2 linked regions of the Arabidopsis thaliana genome follow. The protein of the gene in region 1 interacts with the protein of each later gene in a pairwise test. Each region holds a gene or a part of one and is shown in the gene's direction. Other genes may lie near its edges.

Region 1 (4,744 bases):
CTAGCGAAGAAGACTAGAGGTAATCATGAACAAATCGCAAGTAGCAAACAAAGAAGATTAACGAAAAGGTATAAAGAACTCACCATCGTAACGCCACTGGTTGGATTCGTAGCCCCAGAACCCTCAGAGACTTGAGCATCTTTGTTCTCAACTTCAATAGCCACATCCTCAAACCTGCTCCTCCTCTCACCATTCCCATCAGCAAACCTAGATTTCTTCTTCCCATCCCTAGCCCCATTCTCTTCCTCTCTATCTTTCCTCTTGCTCCTCGATTCCTTCTCTTTACTACCTTCGTGAGACCTCTCATGGTGATGCTTTTCCCTATCTCTACTCCCTTCTCTCTCGCCTCGCTCTACAGATCTCCCTCTTCTATCCTTGGTCCTATCTCTCTCATCTTCCCTATCGCCGCGCCTCGATGAACGGTAGTGATCTGAATCACGACGCTTCGAATCAACATCGCGGTCACGGCGGCGTCCTCCTTCACGTTGTGGAGAATGGTCGGGACTCGAATCTCGATCACGATCGTCACGGTGGCTCCTGGAATATCTCTCCTTATCCATGGCAGAATTTAGGGTTTATTCCTAACAACAATTTGCTTCTGATTCGCCGGTCCTATAAATATACGAAAATTCACAACCGGAATAAACCAGCGATTCAGATTAGAACCAAAACGACCAGCGAAACCAAGTTCTGAATCAGATTTTTGTTCCTTCCGGAAAAATCCTAAAGGGAGCGAAACGATACCGGATCCGGAAGATATATAATCCAATCACCGGACTACAAGCTTCCCTTATGGGCTGAAGCCCATTTTTGAGTTCCTTCTTGAGATAGTTCTTCAATTTTGAGTCTAATGGGCTTTTATATCATCTTTTACTTAAAAAAAAAAAAATCGACGATTCATCTTCTATAGAGATATATGAAAATTCAAGCTATTTATCTTTAAAAAGAAAAATATTTGATGTCAGGTCGCAGTTTTCTTACAAGCAGAAATCCAAACTCTTCATACCAACTATTTTTGGAATAAACAAGATTTCTTTGCCAAGAGTTTTCATACCAACTATTTTTTGGATAAATAAGATTTCTTTGCCAAGAGATTTCCACAAGTTGACCACAAATTAAACATTCGATCAAAACTCAAGAATTCAAATATAGAAGTATATAACGCATATATTCCGCTTTGACTCAAAAAAGAAAAAACCCGCTCATATACTGTATTATGTATAGTCTGAATCACAAACTCTCTAACACGTGAAATTTAATGCGTTAGTCAAGAATCGTTCCGATTGTTACCACTCCCCAGGAACTTTTTCAAGATATTTATACCTCAGAATGATAGCACTTTACAAATAAGTTATACTTTTTTTCAAAACAAAAAAAAACAACTTATTGAAGTCTATGGACAAAAAGAAAATATCTAACATGAATCCTAAAATATCTTTACGATTTTAATTTTATCACATCTTTTGTCAAGAACTCGTGTGTAGCAGTTTATTATGCACATAAATATATGCTATACATTACGCTGCAATGTTCGTAAATACTAGTTCCAGAAAAAGACGATTCCAGCCGTTATTACACTGATCAAAAAGTTATTGCTATATACGGAAAGAATTAATCCCATAAAAATCATGTGCTTTGAACTAACTTTCCCTTTATACGTTAAAATAGATATTTAGGTGAAAAAGCAGATTAGATATTTTCTCTTAGATTCTCTGTCACAGTCAACGTAAGCTTCGCCGTCTGAACAATGGCGACTCTCTCAGCACGCTTTTACACCGTCAGATCTCAACATATCTCAATCTGAACAATCCATCATACACAAGTTCCATACATCGCAACACAGAAAAACAAATCCCTAACCCCAAACTGTTTACAATAATTAGCTTCGTTGTCTTCTTCATTCCAAAAGATTTGCAGATAATTTTGACAAAGCCCCCCAAAAAAAAAAAGAGTTCAAAATGAAAAACGTGAGAAATGGATTTGTCATCATTCTTCTCACCGTCCTTAGTCTCTGAAAATAAATTCTGATTTTGATTTCGAATTTTAGGGATTTTGAGAGAGAGTCAGTTATGAGTAGTTCGGAGAGAGTACCGTGCGATTTCTGCGGCGAGCGTACGGCGGTTTTGTTTTGTAGAGCCGATACGGCGAAGCTGTGTTTGCCTTGTGATCAGCAAGTTCACACGGCGAATCTGTTGTCGAGGAAGCACGTGCGATCTCAGATCTGCGATAATTGCGGTAACGAGCCAGTCTCTGTTCGGTGTTTCACCGATAATCTGATTTTGTGTCAGGAGTGTGATTGGGATGTTCACGGAAGTTGTTCAGTTTCCGATGCTCATGTTCGATCCGCCGTGGAAGGTTTTTCCGGTTGTCCATCGGCGTTGGAGCTTGCTGCTTTATGGGGACTTGATTTGGAGCAAGGGAGGAAAGATGAAGAGAATCAAGTTCCGATGATGGCGATGATGATGGATAATTTCGGGATGCAGTTGGATTCTTGGGTTTTGGGATCTAATGAATTGATTGTTCCCAGCGATACGACGTTTAAGAAGCGTGGATCTTGTGGATCTAGTTGTGGGAGGTATAAGCAGGTATTGTGTAAGCAGCTTGAGGAGTTGCTTAAGAGTGGTGTTGTCGGTGGTGATGGCGATGATGGTGATCGTGACCGTGATTGTGACCGTGAGGGTGCTTGTGATGGAGATGGAGATGGAGAAGCAGGAGAGGGGCTTATGGTTCCGGAGATGTCAGAGAGATTGAAATGGTCAAGAGATGTTGAGGAGATCAATGGTGGCGGAGGAGGAGGAGTTAACCAGCAGTGGAATGCTACTACTACTAATCCTAGTGGTGGCCAGAGTTCTCAGGTTTTGCTTATCTCTCTTTTGATTTTTTTGGCTAAGAACAGTTTAGTTTTTTCTGTTAATGAGCAAGTGAGATTAAGTGGTGAAATGTTTTTGTGTAAGGTCAAATATAGTCACTCTGTGTGGTTTTATGGTTTCTCAAGAAGATAAAAAAATGAAAGGTTTCTTAACCTGTGTTGTGAACTTGTATACAGATATGGGATTTTAACTTGGGACAGTCACGGGGACCTGAGGATACGAGTCGAGTGGAAGCTGCATATGTAGGGAAAGGTGCTGCTTCTTCATTCACAATCAACAATTTTGTTGACCATATGAATGAAACTTGTTCCACTAATGTGAAAGGTGTCAAAGAGATTAAAAAGGTAATAGTTCTCATTAACCTTAGTCATTTAAGTAGAGTAGTGTTTAAAACACAATACGTTGTCATCTCCCGTTCATCCTCAAAAATTGTTGTAGACAGTTGCTTCTTTTAGTGAATGATAGAATTCAGAACATGAAACCTAGTCAGAAAAAAGTTACAAGCTGGTTTGCTTTTCTTTGTTTTACCTCATCACCAAGCCACCAATTCTAACATTTTGGCTTATGATATATATTTGCTAGACTGCTATGCAACTTAACTGTGATGCTGATTAGGATTCTTTTGCAGGATGACTACAAGCGATCAACTTCAGGCCAGGTACAACCAACAAAATCTGAGAGCAACAATCGTCCAATTACCTTTGGCTCTGAGAAAGGTTCGAACTCCTCCAGTGACTTGCATTTCACAGAGCATATTGCTGGAACTAGTTGTAAGACCACAAGACTAGTTGCAACTAAGGCTGATCTGGAGCGGCTGGCTCAGAACAGAGGAGATGCAATGCAGCGTTACAAGGAAAAGAGGAAGACACGGAGGTAAATGCTGCTTTTTTCTTTCCCCTTTAATAATTTTTTATTGCCCATCTCCCTTAAAGAATCTGATACCATATTTCGTTTCTCCCTTTGTCTTGGATCTCGGGTGCCAACAGATATGATAAGACCATAAGGTATGAATCGAGGAAGGCAAGAGCTGACACTAGGTTGCGTGTCAGAGGCAGATTTGTGAAAGCTAGTGAAGCTCCTTACCCTTAACCTTAAGTCTCTTCACATAGGCTTCCTTTTAGCTACAAACTTAGTTACTTTTTTTACTTCCACTGCCTCATAAATGTACAGACCGGTCTCGTTTCATCTGGCCGCCCTTCTGTTTTATTGCCTTATCTGGCCCTTTTATGTACCTTGGAATCTTATCTAGTTTAAAAAAGATTGTAACCTTCTAGAAAACCATATTCTGTTGACAGTATATACATGTCTATCCAAGCATTTTGAAGTCTCACAAGCTAATACGCCTTGATACTCTTTGTTTTAAAAACCCTGACTTATGGCTGTTAATCAAAGTTTTCCAAGTCCAGTTCGCAGATGGCGAGCGGATCTGCGGCTGTGGTTCTTCGTTGCTGTTTCTTTGGTGGTTCTGGCTGTGTTGGCCAATTCAGAAGGTATAAATCTCCCTACTTAAAGAGTTACTCACAGGCGAAATTCCACAATCAGTTTATTCTAGTGTATAATACATGTAGTGGATGTTGTATAATGTTTATGCTTGAATGTCATATAGCTCTGCAGACGTGGGATCCGATGCAGGTGACAATTCTTCTTAAAAGACAACTAATTCTCTGACTTTCCTCTTAGTGACTATAAGAATAGACCAATTCTCTATTAAATTTTTCGTTTAACAATTCCCTCAATCAAGAATTCTCTTCTCTGTATTTCTCCTCTCCATCTTTATCTTACCTCTCCGAAACGCCTTGAACCCTCAAAAATGTCCTTCATCCTACTCGGATTCATATCTTAATAAATGTGAACCACTTGGAATCCCCATTCGT
Region 2 (4,841 bases), on another chromosome or scaffold:
CTAACCAACCACGACTCGTCTATAGCTTTTTCATTATGAATATAGAAATTATACAAGTCTAGCCGGATTTGGGGGTTTTGACGACGATACGGTTTCCATCAACAAAAACTCTGACCCGGTCGCACCTGAAGTCTGCGGTCACCGGACTCCCATCCAAAATCACGGCAGCATTGACGGTGGGGTTCTCTCTCTCTATCACCACGGCCGCATAGTCACCATTTGTTCCCGTAAGCTCCGGCCACGAGTTCTTCCCTGCGATCACGTTACGTTAGATCGGTCAATCATTTACGTTTGGGATTTTGGAGATCAAGAAGCTCATATTTGAGTAAATGAAAACAAAAGAACTAGAAACATCACCATGGATTGACCATATGTAACATAATTAACCTTCTAACAGACTTTAGAAAATGTAATCATATATGTTATAGCTATTGAATTACAATTTTAAATGCCTTGAATCCATATCTAATTGAACATTAGCTAACTATTTACAAACATATAAAACTTTAATTATGAACTATACAATACAAATACAAAAACTTACTAGGACATTCGGTCGACATTTTTCTTCACTCTTGTATATATTTATGTAGTCTTCTGATGTATTTGTATGCTCACCTTTAGAGATTTGAGTCCCATTTATAGAATCGGATACGTACGTTACGTCTTGGTGTCGGTGTCGTCGGTGAGGTTGCAGATTCAAAAGTCAAACTTTGACGAAACCAGCTTTTAATAGCCCCTTCGTTGACATTATTAATTTGTTTGGTAAAAGCTTTGACACTTCTGATTTTGTTTTATAAAGCTTTGAAATGTACATATTTATATCACGATGTTCAAACCTTATCGAGAACAAGATAAGGTTTCTAAGGCTAAGATAATGTCGAAATTTGAAAAACAAACGAAGGTGAAAAATATTTCTAGCGTCGACTGAATTCTGTTTGCATGCAAAAAAACGCTTCTGCCAAATTTGGCACTTAGCCGACAAAAATGACCAAACTGTCCTTCATAAAATTCATGTATAAAAATACTATAATCAATTGTTGTCACACACACAAACAACGATAATGTCAATTATGTTGAATTGTTGACGTACATAAAATTTGACAAACAACATCACAACTTAGTCATATAGTTTTTTTTTTGTTCCCGTTTGATAATCTTGTCATATAGTTAATATTCAATTTGATATGTATATACAGTTTAAAACACGTATATACAGTTCAACTTAGTCATAGTTTTTCTTTTGGTCTGTTTAAGATTGGTAAAAGCACGTATCCGGAATAAAGATTTAGGTATTAATTGGTAACAACTCTATATGCGGGTTTCGAACAAAATTACAAAATCACATATTATATGAGACCAAGTCACCATCACACTTAAATATTTGTGGTTGAGAATTAATTAGTGTTTAGTTTTGTGTATGTTTCACACTGCCCAATGTTACAAACTTGTGTGTGTCAAGAAGACGAGGCCGCCTGAAAACAAAACATGTAAGCCCATTGAAACAGACACCAAAAGACATATGGTCTATAAGCCTCTCCTTGTGCTGGAGCTGGACACAAATTCTTTAAGACCGAGGTTTTCAAACGTAGGCCCAAATAAATAGAACCAAATCCAGTTAGAAGCCCAATAAAATGTTAATTACTTATCTTTGTATTTTAATTTTTGTTCTTTAAAGTTTAGGATTTTTTACATAAGTAAAAGAATTTGTTCTTTAGGCACTTTGAATCCACATTGTCGTTGGTATTGTTATTAGAGTATCTTAATTTTCTATGATTTATTTACGTAGATAATTCATTGAAAAATTAAATGAATTTATGTTTAAATTCTCATCTAATTATTATACAATAGATTGAAAAAGTCACCCTTAGTCAAATTGTTCATATAGTTTTCTTAAATTGTCTAATTAATTACCAAATTAATCCTTGTCTGAAAACTTTTACAAAAGCTAATACAGAACAAATACAAAAAAACGTGTAATCATATCATATAAACACCAGTCGCAGCGTTTCGTAGAAAAATTCGATTTCTCTAAAGCCCTAAAACTAAAACGACTATCCCCAATTCCAAGTTCTAGGGTTTCCATCTTCCCCAATCTGTACGCCATTTTCGATTTCCTTTTTTGTTGTTTACTTTAGCTTCATCGACCATGTTTAGGTTTCAAATTGAGTGTTTGTTCTGTTTCTGTAGAGTATAAATGGCGGATACGCCTTCGAGCCCAGCTGGAGATGGCGGAGAAAGCGGCGGTTCCGTTAGGGAGCAGGATCGATACCTTCCTATAGCTAATATCAGCAGGATCATGAAGAAAGCGTTGCCTCCTAATGGTAAGATTGGAAAAGATGCTAAGGATACAGTTCAGGAATGCGTCTCTGAGTTCATCAGCTTCATCACTAGCGAGTATGCATTCCCAATTTTTCTTCTTTCAATCGAATTTGTTGGAAAATATTTTGCTCTTTGGTGAAAAAAATTGATCATTTGTTGGAACTTTGGGTTTGTGAGAGATAGTTTTCTTAAACTAGCTATGGATTGAGTTTAGCTCAGAGAGTTTTTTGAAGTTTATAGAGCAAAGATTATGTTTTTTTTTTTGTCACAATGTTAATCAACCATTGTTTGGTATGGGTTTACCTTAACCTAGTTCCTTTCCTATAGACCATTTTGCAGATTATTTCACATGCTTCTACTGTGTTATATCTTAACTCTGTCAAATAAATTGTTAGATTTTTTTCTTCATTTAACCATCTTAGGGTATAAAAGCCGTATCTTGATCATGTTTCAAAGATTCTTTTATCTTTAGGATCTGTTTGTTTTTGTTCCTTTTTGTTCATTTAAGGCAAAAGATATGTTTTTCATCATGAAGGAATTGCTTGTGTTGAATGCGTTTTAGGTCTCTGATTGATGAGTTTTATGTTTCTTATAACATCAGATGCCCCCGTTCTTTGTTAGGAAGAAATAAGTTATCATGTATGAAACTATGATTTATCTATTGGTTCAAGATAAGCTTGTCTGATGTTGCGCTTAAGTCTCTTTTGCTGGTCTTATGTTGATTCGTTGACTGTAATGGCCAATTGACTGGTATCTGTTTCTGCTAATCAGGGCCAGTGATAAGTGTCAAAAAGAGAAAAGGAAAACTGTGAATGGTGATGATTTGTTGTGGGCAATGGCAACATTAGGATTTGAGGATTACCTGGAACCTCTAAAGATATACCTAGCGAGGTACAGGGAGGTATGTTGCTTTGACTCCCTAATCATGTGTTCTGAAATCCTTAATATCCTAGTCAAGAGATTAGTAGCTGTGAGTAACATCGAAGCTTGCCATGATAGCAGTTTTACAATCCCTTCAATACGTCTTGTGTAGAATTTTTGAAGCAAGAAAGATAAATCTAGACCAACAGTCAGGATGCATATTAGTAAATTTTGAAAGACATTTATTACTCTCTCTTTTGTGCTTTTGTTGTTAACATACATAATAAAATCAAAATGTTTCTTATTAAGTTGAGACTAATTCGGTTCTTTTCATTCCCTGGGATTGGTTGCTGACACACCACCTGCTGATGCAGTTGGAGGTAAATAAACCACATACTTATTTCTACTTTATATTCCATTCCAGTGTTGCCCATTGGCTTCTTACGTTTTGTTGTGAAATTATGATAGGGTGATAATAAGGGATCAGGAAAGAGTGGAGATGGATCAAATAGAGATGCTGGTGGCGGTGTTTCTGGTGAAGAAATGCCGGTATGATTTTGACAAGTATAGATGATACCAATGCTATACAGCCTATATTGTACTTAGCTCTGACTTCATCATTTTGATTCAATCACAGAGCTGGTAAAAGAAGTTGCAAGTAGTGATTAAGAACAATCGCCAAATGATCAAGTAATTCTTCTCTCTATCACACGGCCTCATGTACACAAATGAAGAGCATAGTCTATATGCATGTAGGTTCATATCCAATCTTCACTTCGTTACAACTGATGATAGTAGGACATGCCTTGTAAACTTGCTGATCATGTTATATTTTGCTGTGTGAATGAACTATGGCTAGTTTCAAAATTGTTTGTCTAACGTGAAATTCTCTAAAACGGTGCAGGGGAAATTAGAGATCAGTGAGTTGTTTATAGTTGAGCTGATCGACAACTATTTCGGGTTTACTCTCAATTTCGGTTATGTTAGTTTGAACGTTTGGTTTATTGTTTCCGGTTTAGTTGGTTGTATTTAAAGATTTCTCTGTTAGATGTTGAGAACACTTGAATGAAGGAAAAATTTGTCCACATCCTGTTGTTATTTTCGATTCACTTTCGGAATTTCATAGCTAATTTATTCTCATTTAATACAAAATCCTTAAATTAAATTTGTACAGTACCTTTGTTTTGGGTATAGACAATTACATTTTAAGTCAGTTGATCTGTATCAAATACTACACTTACAAAATCACAAAGTAAAGGCAGCAATTAATTTTGCTTTGAATTGAAAAGCTTTGAGAGAGTAATCAAATGCTTAAATCACGAAAACTTACAAATTTCAAAATTTTGTCTCTCCATAAATTCTCTTAATAAAGGCTGTTGTTTTTCCAATTTGAAAATTCTATTTTTCAAAATCAAGAACAGGCTATGGAATTTCAAGAAGCTGGTTCATCATCAAGTAGAATCATCTTCCTCTGTTTCCTCTCCTATCTAAAATCTCTTTAGTCTTCAGAAACTGATTATACTTTGTGCAGCAGCAAGAGTAAAGATTGACTTTGTGCAGCCGATGGCACACAAAGAGAGCAAATGGAACCATCGCAAAAGCTTGGCCTGGGACACTGCTTTTTCCACCAACCCTGGTTTCTTCCTATTTCCTATAGA

What was found. Proteins that work in one complex are often made in the same cells at the same time.
Region 2: the proteins of BBX13 (region 1) and NF-YB1 interact in a two-hybrid assay, tested with the Arabidopsis thaliana proteins (one study listed by BioGRID).

What each region holds. Positions count from the first base shown.
Region 1 is NC_003070.9:9,774,983-9,779,726, reverse strand, and holds BBX13 (B-box type zinc finger protein with CCT domain-containing protein), read left to right. Parts: upstream 1-1,683; 5' UTR 1,684-2,069; coding exon 2,070-2,855; intron 2,856-3,046; coding exon 3,047-3,214; intron 3,215-3,498; coding exon 3,499-3,743; intron 3,744-3,856; coding exon 3,857-3,959; 3' UTR 3,960-4,205; downstream 4,206-4,744. Other genes in the region: AT1G28060 (Pre-mRNA-splicing factor 3), read right to left, coding at 84-560.
Region 2 is NC_003071.7:16,236,488-16,241,328, forward strand, and holds NF-YB1 (nuclear factor Y, subunit B1), read left to right. Parts: upstream 1-2,004; 5' UTR 2,005-2,098; intron 2,099-2,190; 5' UTR 2,191-2,197; coding exon 2,198-2,397; intron 2,398-3,093; coding exon 3,094-3,227; coding exon of another isoform or gene 3,228-3,355; exon of another isoform or gene 3,356-3,492; coding exon 3,493-3,563; intron 3,564-3,651; coding exon 3,652-3,732; coding exon of another isoform or gene 3,733-3,738; exon of another isoform or gene 3,739-3,820; coding exon 3,821-3,829; 3' UTR 3,830-3,873; exon of another isoform or gene 3,874-4,087; 3' UTR 4,088-4,294; downstream 4,295-4,841. Other genes in the region: AT2G38870 (Serine protease inhibitor, potato inhibitor I-type family protein), read right to left, coding at 59-252, 545-563; AT2G38890 (uncharacterized protein), read left to right, coding at 4,608-4,638, 4,718-4,819. UniProt on the Arabidopsis thaliana protein: Component of the NF-Y/HAP transcription factor complex. The NF-Y complex stimulates the transcription of various genes by recognizing and binding to a CCAAT motif in promoters.